Linked DNA regions of Lepisosteus oculatus. The protein of the gene in region 1 interacts with the protein of each later gene in a pairwise test. Links are inferred from orthologs where the notes say so. Each region holds a gene or a part of one and is shown in the gene's direction. Other genes may lie near its edges.

Evidence for each region.
Region 2: the proteins of bend7 (region 1) and lmo3 interact in binary tests that used the Homo sapiens proteins (3 or more experiments, as listed by UniProt). The two-hybrid records come from large-scale screens. The link is inferred for Lepisosteus oculatus from reciprocal best matches to the Homo sapiens genes BEND7 and LMO3.

Annotation. Positions count from the first base shown.
Region 1 is NC_090702.1:14,198,181-14,207,260, reverse strand, and holds the start of bend7 (BEN domain-containing protein 7), read left to right. Parts: upstream 1-3,900; 5' UTR 3,901-4,196; coding exon 4,197-4,326; intron 4,327-5,472; coding exon 5,473-5,550; intron 5,551-9,060; coding exon 9,061-9,080. Other genes in the region: prpf18 (pre-mRNA-splicing factor 18), read right to left, coding at 1-83, 1,487-1,513, 2,722-2,799, 3,201-3,266.
Region 2 is NC_090702.1:24,867,694-24,879,679, reverse strand, and holds the start of lmo3 (LIM domain only protein 3), read left to right. Parts: upstream 1-6,929; 5' UTR 6,930-6,938; coding exon 6,939-7,032; intron 7,033-10,011; exon of another isoform or gene 10,012-10,033; intron 10,034-10,062; exon of another isoform or gene 10,063-10,125; intron 10,126-11,986.

The DNA of each region.
Region 1 (9,080 bases):
GGCAGCTTCTCTTCAGTTAGTTCAAGTTCCAATACAGGATTGGAGGAGGTCGATGGTTCAGGCTCATCTTCTTTTCGCTGCAACTTTAAATTAAAACCAAATTGAAGATCCCATGCTTAACAAGATACTGTAAATGTAAAGATTATATGAGCAATTTGTTACTTTTTATTTTGTAATATATTTAATTAAATAACTTTCCTTTCCAAAGGGCCACTGACATTGATAATGCATACAAAATACATACTAACAAGTCGACTGCTTACAACATTAAATAGCCTCAATATTTTATGTTGATGCTTCTTATAAACACTTAATATATATAACACCTCACTACTTCAGAAAAAAAAGAGAACAAAGGTGCTTTAATATTTTAAAAAACGCACTGAACAACGCCATCTACTTGAAAAGTATTTCAACACTGCACAACAGAAATTAATTTGAGACAATACTTGCATGGGAATCTATCAAGATTCTAAAAACAGAGAAAAAACTGGGTCAATTAGGGAAAGCACTGATCCTCAGTTAGATGATCCGGAGTATAGCACTGGGTTCCAGAACACAGAACTTGTCTTAAACATATAATTAAATTGCATGCAACACCTCTCAACAGCTATTTAATAAACCAACGTGACGTTAAGTTAATCATTCATGACAAATATAAACTAAACATGTACTGTAACACGAATTAGTAAGGTGACACTTTACAGGTTCTTTTGTAAGTCTTTAGATTCTTGCTCCCACAATGTTACTATCCCCGCTTCTCATAGTGACACTTGCCTATACTCTGCAAATAAAGTACTTATTAATGGTGCAAATTAATACTTTAAAAAGGACAGTTAAGCAAACAACTCCGGCTGCCTTGAAAAAAGGAAACCACCATGCTACAAGACACTCTTTATTTTTCCTGAACAGATGCAGAAAACAAGGAAAGTGTTTTCAATGCTTGTTCACTAGTACTCCATTATTTTAAAAAATACATAAGTGTATTTTTTTAAATAATTCAATTTGAATCATGCTTTCAGAAGCACATGCACTTTTCCCAATTACAGCTAGCAGTACAAAAAGAGGTAGTTGTAAAAAAAGATAACAGGCAATTTAAGGGATCTCTCAGAAGCACCGCAATATCTGCTAAAAAGCAACAGACTATTATTGAAAGGGGGAATTTTTTACTTGGAGCTAAGATTTTTTTTTTATAAAAGGTCACTAATATTTGTGATCCATATCTAAAACAAAAGGGTGAGTTTAAAATATCTTAAACTGTGAATATTAAACTGTCCAGAATAACTGAAGTTAGTTCCACCCTATGAATTTTTTAGTTTCAAACTGGTGCAGCCAAGACTTATTTTCTTCTGCTCAAAACAATTTCACAGTTTGCTAGTTCATGCTGTAAGCAAAAGAAAATGCAAGAAAAAAAAATCAATGTGTTTCAGCATGCCCAATTTTGCTCTACAGCAGGGACAAATCTTTGCCCTCTTTAATCCCATACCTTTCCTGCTGGCTTCTCATTAACAACCTACAGTGCAATGCAGACAGGATGGAAGAGCAGCATTAGATGTTATAAAGACAGGGTCTGAAGAACAAGCCAAAAAAATCACTAAGAAAGCCAGAGAACCTTTATAGAAAGCACTGTATTCATATGTGCAAAATATTCTAATATACATATAAACACATGATTGGAATCAGAAAAAAAGCTGTAACGAGCTGATAGGCCAAAAAAAGTTCTGGTTTGCAAACATACACCATGCATAACTACTGGATAACTGTTGGAATTTGAAAATAAAGTACGGATTTGATCATTTTACATTTAATTGATATTCTGGGTTAACACTGTGATTGTACAGATCAAGACAAGCTAAAGAGAAGCAAATGTACACAGACATCATTAATGTCCAAAAGAAAAGAATAACAAGTCTGTACTTTAAAAGAGATCTAAAATCCGATAAACAGAAGCCGGTATGTTGGAACCTAAGGGTGATTCACTAAAAGCATCAGGTGTCATACAACCTAAGCCAAATGTATTTAGATCCTCTAGGTCAGTGACCATCCATCCACACCTGAGATCTCATGAAGTGCAAAGACGACAGACAGGCAGTTTTTCAAAACTTTGGCAATTTACCACACAAAGAATATGACCCGGACTGAATCAATCTTCCTGAGATTGTCACTATAAACACATTTCTCCCTAATCTAAAGACTGTATAGCTGTACACTAGACCTCCAATCCTTGTTTGTTTTGGCCATTTTTTAGAGTGCATGTATTTGGCAAATAATGAAGTCCACTGATTTGAAGGAATATTTCCCTAAGGAATAAATGATTAAACTTGTATGGTTTGTCATATACTGTATTTTATCTTATTTTTCCATGGAATTTCAGAATGTGAAGAAAATATTATTCATAAAGTATGATCTCCTTGCATAAGATAAAAGGTCACTGTACAAAATAAAGTCCTGCTACCATTTAGCTGTGCTGCTCTTGACTCCAAGATAGAGAGGAGTAGTTGCACTTTGGTTTTCTACTTATTCACAGAGAGTCTCTCTGCGGTTTTGCGTTTAAATGAACCCAGTTTCCGACTTACATCCTAGTGCCTAAGTTGCCAATTAACTGTGCTCACTCACAGCATGTGCAACTGTTCTGGCCCGATCTAACGCCTAAAATTCACACAGGGAAACACCTGTATAAGGCTATCCGAATACAAATCTATAAATATGTCAGCACTGTACCTTATAACCACATCTTTCATAATAGGATTCTTCTTCTTTTCGGGCAAGCTCGCTGCGTTTAAAGAATTTCTTTGACTCCTGCAATACAAGAGTTGACGTTATGGCACTCAACATTATTTAAGTATTTAGTTTAATATCTCATGAAAGGTAGCAGTCCACTGGACGTCCATGCACTGATTTAACATTTCGAATTGGACAGAAACAAGCAAAAAATAAACTTCGTGTTTAAATACTACAGACTTATTAAAATGCTGTCGACAGCTTCGGATATAACAGTAAATCCCATGGAAAGGGTCTCTTAATGTTACTTAGTCCTTTACTGTGATATTGGTATACTAGACAGCGTTTTGTAAACACACAAATATCCATAAGTATAAAGCAGGTTATCGTTGCGGGTAACACCGAGTGATAGACGGTAAAAAAAAGTCATTTAAACCATCATAAAATTGAATATTTTCCATTGGACACCGGTAACTCACACCAACAAGCTCCTTTTCTTCGAGGAGCTTCCTTTTCCTCGCTATTTCAGCTTTTAAAATATCCATGATGTGATAGCATGTAACACAAACTCCTTCGGTGTTGTTAAAAAAAAACACACAAAACAGGAAGCAATTCTCCAACACTTCCGTCGGTTTTTATACGGTGAAAGGTCAAGGGGCGGTGTCAAGATACACAGATGCTGCCAGAAGCCGAAACCTCTGGAATAAAAAACCTCGACAGGTCATTGGTGTTGGTACCTCCCTTATGCAGATCTCTCTCATTGTTAATGAGAACAGTGCTTGTCCACACAATCACATGACCCATACGCTTTTACCTAATGATTAAATATGCATAAATTGTGGTACTGGCACTGGTTCGAAGCATATTTGACATTAATTAATTGTATCGTACTAAGGTGCTATAAGTCATCGATCTCTGCTATTCTTAAATTATTCAAAATGTATTATTACTATTACTACTATTAACTTTTCGTGAAACAGACTTGAAATAAAAAAATTGTGATTAATATATATATATAATAGTATTGTGCTTTCCTAACCATTTGACTAGTTTAAACAAAGGTGAACAGACCGTATAACAAGGACACCGAGAGGGGCTGAGATACTTTACCCCATTTCCTCAGTAAAAAGTCAACTAGCCTTAGCCTCAAACCATTCATTCTGTGTGTGGGTAACCAGGTGATGAACATCTAGCCTACAAAACAATTCCATCAGGTGGCGCAAAGGAATATGGAAAATATAAGTACACCGATTCATCTTTTTGTAATACAAACGGATTCGCTCTAAAATAATAAATAAAGATCAATCGATTACTAGTACAAAATGTTTTATTCAAGAGCTGTAATTAACACGGTTAATTTTCAAAACCATTAAGGGCGTATAAACGCGAGGCTAAGCAGTTGGAACTGAAATACTGTAATGAGCAGGAGTTTTTGCTGATTACAGAGACGGACCCCGGTCCTGCTGTTTATTCTGATGTACTACACGCTGGAGTTCTGCTTTAGATTTCATTCCCTGGTCTTTATCGCACAGATACCAATAATGGAGTTTTCTGAAAGGAAAAGGAGCAGAAAATCCCAAAGCTTCAAACTGATTAACGAAGAAGGTAAGGCAGGGAATTTATCTTGTCACGATTCGTCTGCAGTCGCTCCTTTGGGTATTGTATAAACAAAAAGGTTAAAATGAAATAACCCTTGTTAAAGAACACGGAATGCACCTGCAACGTTTGTTTAGTTGAAAGGAGATTATTGTCCATCAATAGAAACACAGTATACATAGACATTATTTAATATATTTGTCACATGGGGTATACACAACGGAAGAATAAACTAATGCTCGAAGAATGCATTATATATGTGGTTGTTTTCATGAGGAGTAGGTAGTCTGAAAGGCACACTGACAAACCGACGGATATCACTGAACTTGTATTTTCTGTCATTAGATTACAAATTTATAAAAAGTGCATTTGTTCGAGTGTATATTCATTATGAAAATTTGCGTTAAACAATTCTGTTGCGCATGAGAATGAAATAATATCAGCAATATCAATATTGGCTTAACGTGATCTGTAGTAGTTTAGTTTGGTTTGATTTGATGCCAAGTTTGAGCCTGAGAACTAGACTATTTTATATTCCACCTACAGGTGGTAGAACCTAACAGCGTGCAGTGTGCAGGAAACTAAACAGGCAGGTCCAGTCCTGCCTACAATAGTCTTCATTCCGCTAAATAGTCGTGCACATTCACTACAGTGTAAAGACAGACAGCGAAATATTTCCTAGGTCCCATTATACAGAATATTGTTTACGTTTTTCTGGGATTTGATACTCTTCCTACATTAGTAATATGAGAGTTAGATTTTCCAAGAGCAGTTGTTTCAAGGTTCATTTTAAAGAATGTTTTAAAATTTGGCAAATTTGTTCTTTCAACGATACTGACTTTATGAAGTAAATGCTTCAAACATCATACATATAAATATGTTGGTGATGTCTTGTGTGAAGCTCTCATTTAAAGCATAATAGCTTAATAGTGAGAGTTATCCTCTAAGAGCCTGTCTTTTAGAGAGTATGTGTCAAAGAGATGGATAGAAAGGAGGGAAACCTTGAACTATTAATTCTTGAAAACAATTATGATTAATTATTTCCTTCCTCTTTGACAAAATGATGATATGATTTGTATAAAATATTCAGATGTATTTTGCTGTATCATCTGAACCTTGGTGGGTAATCCATGGTAATATTCCTTGTCTTTCCAGATTACGAAGCAGAATACTTTGCAAGCAGTAACACCCTTGATGCAAACGGGGAAATAAATGATACAAAAATGGCTGAAGGTACATTGTTTATTTCTTATTGAATAAACAGGCAAGGATTATGATAACATTAATCTTGAAGATACGTTCAGCTCTTGCTAAAGATATATATATATAGTTTATGCTGTATAAGTAATATTATTTTTCTGTGATGAGTACTTTTAGCTCAGTGTGTTGGTCAGGATTTGTCTTATTTTGTCTTGCAGCATGGTTACTAGCAGACATCCCATTTATTTCAAGTCACATGGCATTATCACAGTGTCTTTAAGATAGATTGTTTTTTCTTTGTTTGGTCATGTGTATTGTAAAATACAGTCAATTTTTTCCATTTGACAATTGTACTGTATCTGCATAGCATAGCACAGACAGAACAGTATATTGCAGTAAAAGTCAAACAACCATACAGTAGTACTATTGAAGCAGAGTGCTGGGATGTGGATTCTAGCATAACTGAAATTTAAATTTTGGAGACAGAAAAAATTGAAAACTGCTTTTAATAATGTTACAATATGAATGCCATATCCTATTATTTCACAGATTTATGGACATGCCAGAAATGTTCATTTCTTTCCATCGTGTTCTTCTATTCATGGTTTATGGTTTATTTGGTTGCTGTGAGGATACCAAAAGGTATATTCTAAGTAACATGCCTGTATTTTTTTCTTTTTGCTGCTTATGTCCAGAAAAGTTTTGAAATTTCTAAATTTACAACTCGCCAAACTCAACTTTGAGATGTCAGCTCACATGGAACAGCATATAGGGTAACCATTCTGATCCTAGTAGTGATTGAGTAATATTCACTGAATATACAAGAAGAATCTAAGAAACTTTGCAAACCAGAGAAGTCAATTTAGCCCATCTAGTTAGTCTCCAACACTGTAACTAACCAGCTCTCATACAGCAATGCCTTTGTCCTGCTCACTGTCATGTAGAAATTGTGTAGCCAATACAATATGTTTTCCTACTTCTGTAATTGCTTCGCATCTGCATTACCTTGGATTAAATTGCAAAATAGTTAATAATGATAATAACAGAAGTAGTTATACTAGTTAATGATAATAACAGAATAACAAATGACAGAGGTCAAGTTGAATATTACGCAAATGGGAGAAATGGGAGGAAAGCTGCCACCTTAAGAATTAGGGTACATTTCAGGTGCATTAAGGTGGATTGAAGAATTAATGGTTGCATTAAGATGAGGGCCATTAAGCTATCTGATGAAGGATCACACCTTAACAGGTGTAACAGTCTGTTAAGGTGTGATTATCAAACTGCAGCTAGTCAATGTCTTGAAAATAGGTGTAGTTGAAATGGGTTGCTAATTAAATTAACAGGTTAAGATTATGTCCCATAATGCAGACACTGTTGCATTAAATCAGGGTTATGCTATTAGACAACTGCCAAACGTATTTCCAAAAGGATGGTACGAATTGGTAGTTGGTTCTGTTGGGGTTTGGTGGACTTGAGTCATCCAAAGCATCTTTGGACTATCACTCACGATCTCAGGCGATCTCTGTGACCTATTTCAGTCACTATGAATAAGGTTCTTTCCAATAAATAACTGATGTTCAGTAATTGATAGTTCAATGTATGTTATTTTTTTCAAATAATAGTTTAATCACAAACAGTATGGCTTATCTATTCAATATAATTATATTCTAAACATTGCCTCTAATACACTTTTCATTGAGCTTAATTTGTGCTGAGGACATTTAATATATTTTTAGGTGGCTAAAATATGAAATGGCACTGTAAAAACCTCCATTCAATCCTGATTACTGCAGTCATATAGGAAATATATAACAGTTCTTGCAATATATAGCATGTTAGCCAAAGTTTAGAAGCGCACATAACACCATAACGATATACCACAGTAAAAGTATAAGAGTATAACAGATAAAAAATAAAGAACACTTAATAAACACTCCTTAATGTTACGACAGTGGGTTCATTAGCATGTGTTGCATATCCAAATAACATGGAAGGAGAGCACTCATGAGGAGAATGATATGCATATGGTGTTCATAGAAGCTTCTTAGAAATAAACCACATCTAAATTGGCATTGCTAGTAGCACTGATGAAAAGCAGGTGTTACACACTGAGCTCCAGCTCATAAAAAGCTGCCATTCAAAACAAGTGTTTTATCAAGGGAGAGAGGAAGATGAATGATCCAGAGCCCAAACATCAGCAATTTCCAGAACTTTGTGGGGAAAAGCAAACTTTACTAGATTTGACAGAGAAAAAAAATAGTCTGCATGTTATACAGATAGAGCAAAGGGAGGGAAAAGGGAAAAAAATATGAAAAGGGGAAAATTAATATAAAATACCATACAGGCTTTATCTTATGACCCTTTCGTTTTTAGTCATTTCCATCTGTTTTGCCTGGAAGACACAGCAGATTGTGGTATTTCAGAGCTCTGAGAGACAGGTTTCTTCGGAGGCAATTTAATTTCTGCCACAAATATTTCTTCTTTTTCTTTAAATATAAAGTATGTACAGTATATTGTATGAGAAGTATGCTTTGTGGCACGTTTTAGATGGCTTTTTGCAGTATTGTTTTATTTGATCAAAAACTAAGTATGTTTCAGACACTACTGGACACATACGGTATTACCAGTGTTCTTATTAATGTTGTATTACCAATGAATGTGGGGTTAATATATCTGAATATAGGGCAGCAAGGTGGCGTACTGGTTAGTATTGCTGTCTCGCAGCACTGAGGCTCTGGATTTAATTCCTGGGGTGCTGTCTGCGTGGAGTTTGTATGATCTCACAGTGTGGGTTTGCATGGGGAAACCGAGTGTTATTGGGGTGCTATGATTTCCTCCCACAGTCCAAAGATATACTGGTAGATTAATTAGCTTCTGGGAAAACAGGCCCAGGTGTGAGTGTGTGCATGATCGTGTCTCTGTGCCCTGTGATGGACTGGCGTCCCATCCAGGGTGTATCCTGCCTTGCACCCGCTGTTTGCTTGGATAGACTCCAGCTCCATGGCCACCCTGACCTGAATAACACGGTTAGAAAGTGGATGGATATATGTTGATATATGTATGAAAAAATTAAAAGACACATGTGCATCCGCCTGTTTTGTAGTATAATTAACCATTATAACATTTTATAGTTTTATAAAAATGTGAATACTTTCTCCCCAAGTGGTGCAAGCCTTCACACTCCACACTTACAATATCTAACACTGTTTTTGGTGTTGGTGTCGGAGGGATACATAATCCATGTTCGGGAAAGGGGCAGCAGATAAATACTATGGGCACCATTACGCACTTCCCGCAATTCGTCAGTCTCTGCTCTGTCAGTATGGTGTTATTTCCCTAAGACACATCTTATCTTCAGGTGTCCACAAAGTGCAAGACACATCATATGGGAAAACCTGTGTAAACATTTTGTTGCGCAAATGTTGTGCCAGTGACTTCCATAGCGCACATCTTTATATAGATCATTCACCTGTAGGAATAGGGTCTTGCTAATGATTACAAGAGATTTCTTAGTGTCTTTAACATCCAAATTGTCTTTAGCTTGGCTAGGTGACGAAGGC
Region 2 (11,986 bases), about 11 Mb from region 1:
ATTTAAACAAAGATTTGCATAGATGCACTAATCAGTAGCAATGAATTACAGAGCGTCTCTTGCCAATGAGAGGTAGCAGATCATAGAGTTGGAAGGGAAAAAAAAACTCATCTCCTTGAACATAATTAATTTAATTGTCCTCATTAGCTGTACCATTTGTTTTGATTTTATTTCTGTCTTTCTCTCTCTCTCACTTGCTGTCCCTCTCCACATCCATACACCCTCGCTGTCTCTCTCTCTCCCTCCTTCTCTCAACTCCCCGCATATTGGCTGACAGAGGTAGTAGTGTGCCGTATGTGAAGCTGTTGTGCAGAGGTAGAGTAGGAAGAGCAAAACGGCGACTGAGTATGAGGATATAACAACAAGATAAAAAGCCAACAAAAAAAAAAAAACAACAACAACAACAACAACAACAACAACAAGTTTATCAGCCACACGATTCGAAGCGGAAAAAGAAAGCCGGAGCCAAAGCTACTTTTGTCAAACTGTTCAATAGGAGCGTCTCATTAATCTGCCCTTCCCTGCCTGCCTTGGGTTCTGGAGTCGCTGGCTGTGGAGGTTAGTGCCTGAGTGCTGCTTGTTTTCTTCCCCGCTCCCTGACGTTTGACTTTGCACACTGCAGAGTTTGCTTTTCAGTTTGGGAGTTGCATGTGGTTGGACAAGCAGGTACCAGTAAGATCAAATTAAAAGACAAAAATACACACAGAAGAGAAAACAATATAGAGGAGTGATTTCACCTTTTTTTTCCCCTCTTTTCCAATAACGAACAAGTGCTTCTAAAAAACGTCACGGATATCTTTGAATTCTGTATCTTAACCGATGTGCCTTAAAATAAAGTCTTAAAGAATCCGCCTGATTCATTTGTCTAAGTGAGTTGTGACCTCAAAATATTAATTACTACGAAAGGCACGGCATTAATGCATGTAGCATCCAAACCAATGTAAGGGGCATATTTGTTTACAAATGAAATCTATGGAAAATCTGAATGTTCTTTTCTGAGTCGTTTTAGCTTTAATTGGTTGTCCTGAGAAGTGGTAAGCAGAGGTGAGGGGGGACTAAATATCTCGCCTAGTGGATAGTAGTCAACCTGAAAGTTCAACTGAATTTTGCAAGTAAAAGGCAATGTACTGCATGTCAGTTGCAGGTTTCTTCTACGGCAGAGATGTCCAGTCCTGATCCTGGAGGGCCTGTGTGTGTGTGTGGGGGGGGGGGGTTCATTCTTACTCAGATCGTAATGAGCAAAACCAGCTGATTATTGGCTTAACTGGACTAATGTAGTAGTTTCTTCCAGCTCTTCAGGGGCTGCTGCTTTAAAGTGACCTTCAAAACATGCAGAAATAGCGAATACTTAGGACCAGGATTGGTCAACCCTGTTCTAAAGTGTTTCTCACAAAATTAAATTGTGTCAAAGTTTGCAATGAGTCTTCTGTACAATGTGCACTACACACTTTTATCTGCTCAGACAAGACATGTTGTTTCTGTTTATTGATCTTTGTATCTAAATTTCATACATTGATCACACTTGCAAATTGCAATCAGTGAGGCCATAGAACAGATTTATTAAATGACATTTCTAACCAGAATAAGAGATACAAAAATACTGTGAAAAAATATTTGTAATATTTCCAAGTAACTTTATTTAAAGCCTTTTCACTTGAAAAATATGTACTGTATACTATCTTCTTTTAGGTCACTAAAAAGCAAACTGTTATTAGCGCAAATCTCTTACAAATTAATCTCTATATACTGTATACATTAGTTCAAATGTTACAAATACTGTTCTAGTACTTATTTTCTGTTTTTTCTGTATAAAAATACAATCTTTTATTCTAGTGCTCTTGAAGAGAAGATAAATTTGCAGAACCTGTTTTTAAATATTGTATTAGTTCATGCCTCTGTGAAAAGCAAGAGCAATCAACCTGATAAAAATGTCACTCAAGAAAATGGTAAAAAACTAACACCAAAAAATCCTTGTTATCATCACACTTTAAGGACTGTTCAATACAATCTGTGCAACTACCACTCACAAAAACATTAAAACCTTGCCATACCATTGTATCCCATTATTACAGATTTCATATGCTTAAAGAAAGTCAGACAGCTGAACAGACAGATGTAGTTTGACACTGAAAATTATGAATGCCTTCTACATTTTCACAGTTTTTGAACTGCTTGAAAATACAATAGTAATATAAAATGTAATTTTACACATCCAGGTGTTTATTTAAAATGTGTCAAAAGAAGATTCTGTATTATACTGAAGCTTACAAACCACTGTAGTTATATTAAAGACAGCTTACATTTCAAACCAAATAAAGTGACAAAAATCAATTAACTAAGTCCTAAAATGTAAGCATAAAGTTTCTCTGAAGGGTACTGCTTTATTTTCAGATATTTTCTCTTTACTAAATTATAAATTAATTGAGACTCAATTAAAATAACTGATCTTCAGAGAGACTTAAAAAAGTATTAATAATAAATCTAACATTTTAAAAGAATGCAGCTAATTAGTGTTGTTTTGAGTCATAGCCTTTAATGACAAATTATGGTATTCTTGTACTTTTGAGAGGCACGTTAATAACAACTCAAAATAGGATGAAGTAATCAAGTATCTTCTCTGTTTTCATCTATTGATATCAAGATTGCCTTGATAGATTGTAAGATCTTCAGAGAAAAAGAAACTCAGTGTCAGATGTGAAATCTGTGGAAATTACATGCACAAAGCTAAAAATCAGTGTCTTCTTCACTGATCTTTCACGTGAAAACCTTCAAAAGTCCTTAAGAATTAACAGAACACTGCACATAACTGATTCATTAACTGAGTCATCCCTCCATCATGGTAAAGATATATTCATCGTTTTTTTTTTTCTATAAATTAGCTTTATTCAGCGTTCTACTTAAGGTATTTTATGACCATTTAAAATGATTTCTACAATTCCGATTTTAATTGCCAAATGTCAAAGCCCTTACCCCAGCTTTGCATGAAAAACAACTGCCTAACAAAGTAAAAAGATATGTCGCGAATAACACAGGTCCCTCTGTGGACTTTATAGTTCTATGTAGATTTAGAGTTTGCATGCGTCCAAGTTTTACAAGTAGGAGGTTATTTGTTAACTTCATACCTAAACCAAAGCGACACGATGGCTTCCCGGTTTTCGCAGTTCCTCTCTCGCTACTTCAGGCACCTGGGCTTCCTTCCAGACTAGGCCCCTTCTGTATGGAGTCTGTATGTTCCGCCCGTGTTTTTTTGAGTGTTTCGAGAAGGGGAAATTAAGATAGTCCTTCAAACGTTTTACAGGTAATGGAGATATTGGTATGTGAATTTAATGGATGGCATTTACGTAAAAAGGCTTTAATTTTCCTCCCAAACTATTTTTTTAATGATTTTGTACAGTATATACAGAATGCAGGACTGAACATAGAGGTCGCTTATAGGAAAACTGCAGCGTGATTAAAAAAATAAAAATATTTAATGACATACAAACATGCAATGCTAATGTTAGGAGCTAATGCGTATCTTTATTGCCCTCTACGGTTACAATCCCATTTTTTTTTATAAATGGAATAAAGAGGGGAAAAAGTAGAAAAGTTTTTCTATTTAACTTACTCATAATAACTCAATGCTCCAAAGGAGAAGGCCATGTGGTAGGGGAAACTATCGGCGTCAGTTCCTTGTAAAGATGCTGCCTCTGAAAACTGCATCCCTAGAAAGGCGGTTTGCTCCGTATTACTTGCTATTGTTTGACCAGTTTGCGCAGCAGTATGTCTTCTTCCCCACTATTGCTTCCTTTCTAAGCGTTCTGTCTTGTTTTCGGATTATCTGTAAGCACACGGTAATGTCTCCACGACGTGAGAAATTGCTGCTTCACTGCGGTGCTAGCAGAGAACTGTACATCGCTGGCTTAGTGTATTTGATACGTGTTGGCACGTGTGTGGCTGTGTGTGCGCGCTCTGGTTCCTCGGTCTTGCAGCAATAACTGAATGACCTTTTCTTGCTGTGTTATGTCTCGCTGGTGAGGGATTGGACTCGTAGGTGATAAAGCTAGGGTTCTCTGTGCTCCATCCCTCAGTCACTGATGGGTAAGTTGTTCTGAGCCCCTCAGTATACTACACGGGAGCTCAGCGGCGGATGTAAAGAGAACACCTGTAGCTCTGTTGCCTAACACTGCAATTAACTGCTTGCGGATCCATGCGGACCTCATTATTTTAAACTTAAAGATCTCAGATACGTCTCGGGCAATGCTTGCTTTATGAACTTTAGCTCTGAAGGGAGAAAGGTTGAAACTGCGCTACTGTGCCTGTTTTTAACTGAGTCCTTTTGCATTACTTGGCGAAGAAGGTGAGTAAAGTGCAGCTGCACAAAATGGATTGACGTGTACCGTAGTTCAGTACAAGTATGTTAGAACATTTTGAGACCCTCTTTTTTAAATATAGGGTGCCTGTGGAAGTTATGCATGCTTAATACAGAAATGATATTTAACTTAATTCATTGGGTTAAGGTGGAAAAAAGGCACCCATTCACTTTTTTAACAAAAACACTTTAAACGCGTGCCTTCACCAATGATGTTGTGTTAGCGCTGTGCATTTTAAAACCTTATTTGTGGATTTAGTGAAGTTTTGTGTATAAATAGATTATTTTCTTTATAGAAAGGAACACTTGTTGGATTTGCAACCACGCATTTACTGTACCAGGGTTTGCGTTACTCATTTGAAGTGCCTTTTCTAAGCAGAAACATACTGTAAATGCCGTGATGTAGATGAAAACATCACGATTGTAGATGGAAACTAGAATATGCTGAAACTTTGCTCTATGTGTAGAATAATTCAAGAATAAGGTAAGAGGTAAAGAACAGTAAGGAGCTGTTAACTAACAATCGAAAGTTTTTAAACAGTTTAAACATTGGTTTCAAACCCTCTCGGAAAACGCTTTGAATACGAACATTTTAGATATGACTCATGCCACTTAAAATCATGTTTTAAAAATAATAGCTTGTTTTATAATGTATAAAATGTCCCCATATCCCACCGTTACTGTCAGCAGCATCATTTAACGAGGACAATTGTTGATGATGTTCTTTATGCAATTCGTTACGGCTTTTATCTCCGTGTTTTAATTTACACGATGTTTACAATCCGCGTTACCCACTGTGGATAGGGTATACTGAAGTGGATATGAATGAGAGACAGTTCACGTACACACTGATATTTAGGATATGTTCCAAGTAAATACCCGGATAAAGGGAAAGAGATTTGCAGGATGAAAAGACGTTTTGTTTAAGGTATAATTGTTTTAGGCTTTAAAACTGCGCTAAACAAAAACATATATCGCATATCTCAGTTCTACGCAGTGCACTTGTCTGTGTCCAGTTGGGTTAACGGCGCTAAAGATACTTTCGCCGGTGTGCATCAGGCGTTAACTTTCCACCTGCAACAGACAAGGAAACGTCGGTTTAAAACTACAATGTGTTTTGTTGATATTATGTGCTAAGGCTGTTGATTGAAGCCATTCCGTGGTATTTGATTAAATTCATTATACAAGGCACTGAAACTGGCTAACATTCGCAAGTAAAGCATGAGGGGATTATAAGATTACGGCGCCGTTAAAGGGGTAAGCATGTGCTTTTGTCATCCGCTGTCATTTGCTCACTACCACTCGTATAGCAGCGGCTGCAAGACTTCCTTTTCATAATCGAGTATTGATGTGACAAACGTTGGCTACGTTTAGCAGGCGATAGTGGATAGCAGGTCTTTCCTTATTTTCCTGTTTATTTTATTTTTTGTCTGGAGCGAGGGTCTCACTTTGAACAATAGCAAGCCACCCTCAGCGTGCAAGCATACAGCTGCTCAGTTCATCCAAAGAAACGAAGCGTTTTTTTTGTCTCTCGAGTTGCATGGTGGTTGGGGTGCTGAAGTCAAATGCAGAAAAGGGAGAAAAGTTTCGGTAAGGATTTTTCGCTGTGCTGTGACTTATTCTTTTTCTTTAGCTTTCTGAGTGTTCACCTTGTCTTGTTTTATTTTAGGAACGTGTGTTGTGTAGGAATCGATGGTGTGAGCAGACCCGTGATCTGAAGTATTCCATAGCTTTGGGATGAGGGGTGTTTTTTCCGTTTATCTTCAATATTGTTCTCGGAGGCTTTAATTGCTTTCAAGAACGTTGGCTGGTGCCAATTATTCTGGCAGGTTTAATGGATAGCTTCAAAATGTTCCCGCTGAATGCTGTAGATAAAGAGGACGTTTAGCACCAAAGACTAAGCACATTAACTCAGAAAGTGATTTTTTTGGTCTTGTTTTGTTGTGCATGCAAGCTGCATCGAAAATTGGGTTCGCTGTTGCAAATCTCTTATTGGCCTTTGCCAAGCACTAGCACTTTGCTACCATGGCAACTGTAATTAAACTGATAAGAGTGGAAAAATGTCAGTATCGCCGAGTCTTGCAGCTGCAAAGGGGAGAAAAGGAGAATCAAATCGGGTCTCAGCTCCATGGCATGCAGTCGTCACGTAGTTTATATATATATTCCGTAAAATGGTATGAGCTCAATTTATAAGGGTTCGGACATCTATTTGTATGAGGTACCCTGAGGGAGTTTGAGTAACATCGGAAAACAGGCAAGGGAGTTCACAGAGAACCTGCGGGGTTGCTCTGGGCGAACGCACAGGGAAAGAAAAAAAATCTTTTAGGCCCAATCCAGCTTTATTTTCCTAAATCTTTTGTTCACTGTTGCTTGGCAATTGGAAAATCGAAGTGGCGAAATTCCTTTCATCTGGATCACTAGACTCCTGGCAGCCTGTTTTCTTAATTTAATAATGAACGAAATTTAGAAAAAGAAAGCTTCTGATTTTTAAGGCAGTGGTTCAGCGCATTATACAAGCTGTCCCAACGCGTCTAAATCTGATTGCAGGCTGAGAAGAGTTGAAACTCTTACTACTTTTCGTTTGTTAATGAGTTGCGGTTACTTTGTTGTGTTAACCAGTGAAGCTGAGACTGCGCGGATGAGTGCCACAGAACAAGGATGCATAATGGAAGCAATCAACCGTACGTGTTTCTTACAATACAATCCAGCCAATTAAAAGCTCACCAGTTTAAATGAAATGAAATAAAATGGGTGTCTGCTCATTACTGCAAACAGAATGACCCTTCAAGCTATTTTATGTATGCCCTAGCTGCTTTTTTCTATTAAATAAAGGGTCTATATAAGATTTCTATCAAATACTGAATTACGGCCACGTTAAAAAAAATGCATTGTTCCAAGGCTGTTAAAACGAGTTTTCAGGACTTTGAAATAACCTCTCGGAAAGGTTGTACTGTCTTTAAACATGATTCTGGACTGTTCTATTTTTTTCCACAAAGATTGCAGCTTCTGTAAAAATGTTTTTCTGCTAAGCAGGATATTAATACAAATATTCCTTTTTTAACATTCAGTTTATCATTTATTAATGCAGCCCAAGACTGTTAACGCACACATACAACTTTCCATGCGTTAGTACTGTATATTGCTGTTAAAAAGTCAAAATCTTTGTGACCGTTGATATTTATGTCTTGTGTTGAGCGTAAAGCGAATAATGGATTCCAGCATAGGTCAATGAAGTTCGCTGTTTAGGTCGGTTACATATTTTCCGTTAGTGGTTACTTGGGAAATAAATGTGTGGTACAGTATATGCTGTATGATTTTCCATACAGTCCTTGTAATGTCCATAGTAAGAAAGTATTAAGCGACCCGTACACATGCCGTTTGAAAAGCGTTGCAGACAACGTTGGCTAGTGTGTTTTAATAATGTGTTAATCGAAGAGATAAAAATAAAACACAATCCACAATATTCAAATGAGAACTCTCCACAGTGAAGCATAAGCCCCTTGTGCCTGGTAAGATACATGTTTCAGTTTTTTATGCAGTGCTTATCCTTCACCGGCCTGAACAGTTAACTGTTCCCTGTCATATATTCCCTTTTCCTCATATATACCACTTGCTCTTAAAATAATTAACAAACAAGAGGAAACTGACTAATTCTGTAGTTTTCCCCCCTTTTATGTTATGAGTGATTCATTATTTTACAGAACTGAGATATTTAAAACAAATCCACATGCAGTAATAGCCTGTTATCCCATTACAGACAGTAGAACCAGAGTTTTCACTGTGGTCATGTTAGTTGACTATTTAAAGATTAAACGTAGCCTTTTTCTGTCTTTGACCATATGCTGTTTTCAAGGCATAGCTGATACTGTAATTCTGTCTCAAACTGCATGTAAGAAGACCCATCAATTTAAGAATGCAATCCTTCCCTTTTCGGTTTTCATAATACTAACTCAATAATTTATAATAAGTTATAGTTCTTGATGATGTAAAAACAAATATAATACAGACACCACATGTGTTCCACATGAAGTCCAACAGTCAGGAAATTAATCAAATAAGCAAGCAAAGAAGCAATCTGTAATTTAAAGGGCACAATGGGAGGTAATCGAGTATAAAATGAATAATGGATTCAGTTATAGGTCAGTAAAGGCCTGTATTGCTGGTGTTGTGTACATTTGCAGTTAAGCCTATGGTTTAGCAGTTTCTGTCAATATCGCACTTTACTCAATCACATTCATTTTCATGTTAAAGAAACAGAGTTGTGTTTGTGCAACACCAAATTAGTATCACACTACATAATTGTGTTGTTGTGGCAGCAATACTGTAAAATAAACAATAACTAAATGTTACATTCTGCTAATTGTGTATGATACACAAATGCTGCTCTGTGATATTACAATTAAATTTTAGTAGTACTGATGTACTGTACAGTGTATAAATCTCTTATTTGCTATTTTGGGACGGATCTTTCAGTGTTTGGATGTATTCAGTTCCAAATGTCCAATAACTTTCAGAATGATTAAGTTAGACACAGTATTATGAAACTTTATTGGTTCTTAACACATGTTCATGGTGGTGGAACTAAAAATGTTTTCATGCAGTTATTCCCTTTTTTTCTTTAGTTTATAAACCAGATCTGGAGACATGCTGTTTTAAGTGTACACGATTCTTCAAACAGGATGCACTGGATTCTGAATTCTTGCACCTCTCCTTAAATATTGGGCACTCATGATTAATTTGGGATTTGGGATTGGGTCACTTTTAAACTACTAAATATCAGTTTGGTGCGTAGTGCACGTTTACAACAGTATTGCTATTTTTTGTTATTTGATTTTAATCTTAACACACTGTAGAACACAAACCTGAATCTAATGTAATCCTTTTACAGTTTTTCTTAGTTTTGTTTTCTTGTTACTTAACTATAATGTTATATTAAGGTTCTTGATTGCCATTTCATACACAGTCCTCTAAAATGTAGCTGTTGTGCAGACTAGTTAATAGCCCCATACCTCCTGGAGTTGAAAATGGCCACAATGGAATGTAAGAACTTTGCAGGGCATTTGCAGAATTGTGAATACTGTTGCAAATGAGCACATTACCAGCTAAAACTGAATTTGCTGTGCTTTGATCTTTAACAGTTTTCAGTATATCTTTCGAGATGTTTTCTGCTTTATCACTGTCGTAATTTCATAATCAGGGTTACCATATATGAAAAACAATCTAGGATAATAAGTCCAAAGAGCTACAGAGAAAAATAACGTTTTCGAAGTCACCTATTTTTAATGTATCTGGAGGTTTTTTTTTTCTCTGTCAAATTCTAAGTAAACAAGTTTTTACTTCAGTCAGTGTCCCCAATCGTTTTGCAATCAAACAGTGCAGGTTCCTATATACAGAATGAGTGCCTGCAGAGTTGGAATTGTTTATGTTAGGAAGTCCTGCAAAAATTCATTTAACATTACTGAGCTACGGCTCACTAAAATGTATCTTCAGATTCAAAAGAAGACAAAACACAAATGATGGTGTGTAGGAGTTGTATACTCCCTAAGCATGGCTGGAGCATACTAATTACTCTGTCCAGGAGTCCACATTGTTACCTCAATATAGCTCTTTCATATCACTCTTGGGTTAGTGGATACACATGATGGTGACTGCGGAATCTTTTCAGCCTTCTCCCAGTGGAAGGTAAAATTGAGGATTTTTAGTTGCGAAAGACAGCTTTGATTGTAATAATCAATGATGTAGGAAAAAGAAGACTAGATATCACTAGTATAAAGGTAAGAAAATCAATAGTGATGTTGATTTTGTTTTTGCATTTTTATGCAGTTAATGAAGATAAAAGTTACGGAATAGGATTTAGAATCTATCTTCACAGCAGATATGTGTAATTGTTTTAAACTTCAGATGCATAGAATAGTGAGTTCTACACTTTTTTAAAAACAGTTTATTTGAATTACCCATATAGCAAAGTTCAAGTCCCAATATAGTAAGAGGATATTCACATTTTAATTTGCTGATTATTCATTTGTTTTCTCACACTAGAGAGATAGAGCTAGAATGCCCTGTAATGCAAACAGTTCCTTGGGCTTATATGCAACCTGTTTTCATCACACATACTGTATGTGAAGTTGCTTATTTTCATCACATCTGTTCAAGGTGTGCCATGATTAATTTTAACATGTTTTTGTCTTTTCAGATAATATTATATTTCAATGACTAAAAGAAAGTTTGAAGCTACTTTATTTTCAAAGACCGAGGCTAAGTTGCTTTATGTATGTTTTTTTTTCCCCCAAACCAGATTAGTACCATTTGAGAGTAAAAATGTTATTGCAGTCATCTGCGAATGTTCACTGAACTGCTTGGATCATGGGGCATTCTTTTCAAATGATTTCAGAAGTTTTGCAAATACTGTACATTGGTTCACTACGATATTAATTGCCATATTTGCTAAATCTAAATGAATCATATTACTATTCTTTTCTTTCCATCCTTAGGCAGCCACATATATCTAAAAAAGCCAATTTGTATAAAATAATTTCCTGTCTTGGCAAATTTCTTACACTCTTTCTAACTAACGTACAGTATAGCACAGATTTTATGTGATTTGCAGAGGTTTCATCCGTTTTAGTTGTCCTTTAACCATTTTCCGCTTTACCTCATACAGTGCAACTATACTGCCAAATGATAGACACTGACTATCCCTTATTTTCTGCAATATACAGTATAATGCTTTTTTCAAAATGTTTCTAAAGGTTTCATGTATGTATAAAAATAAAATGTTGTTGTAATTGTTACATGCAGTAGGCAATCATTTTCAGGATGTAACAAAGTGATTTTGTTTACTTAAATATTTAATTTAAATATCAACTAACCTTAAAGAAACGACCACACTGACATTATGACTAAAATTCACCTTTAAATTCTACAGTAGCTTTTAACTTTTTTTGTTTCATTGAACTTCATCTGCAGTTAACTGCAGCGCATGCATTGAGTAAACGTAGACTGAAGGAAATTTTCATTTTACAAATAGGGCTTTTAATAATGAAAGTAGCCTGTAATTATATTTCACTTAGAAACGTAGCTGCTGCATACATTTAAGGTGAAATGGTTTTCATTGGTTGAAGCGTGCCTGAGCAAATCAAACTGAATGAAAATTAGGAATTAAGCTGTATTAAATTTGTCTTTGATGCTTGTATGAATCCACTTTGAGAAAGCCAACTGATAGTATTTTGGAATAAGACACTCCATGAGTCTGCAGCTGATGGAAAGCAGTGATATGTTCATAAGATATTATGTGCTTGTAAAAGTGCACAACATGAATGCACACAAAAGTCACTTCAAAGACTTTTTGTGCAGTGTACTCACTCCTATTAAAATAAGGACAGTTTTATAATGAACTGCAGGTAGTCAGGAGCTAAAAGCAGTGGTGCTTTTACAACTATTTTACAATTTTGAGCTTTCTCAAAGAAAACAGTATAATGCTCCAAATTGGTACATCATTGAAATTTATGTATTTTTGTATATTTCTTCCCAAATGTAACTCATGCCTTTGTATGGAATGTAGTGAATCACAACATAGTGGATAGTCTGTTGCTTGCAAAAGCCTGTAAATTTATATTTTAACTGCTATTCATACTG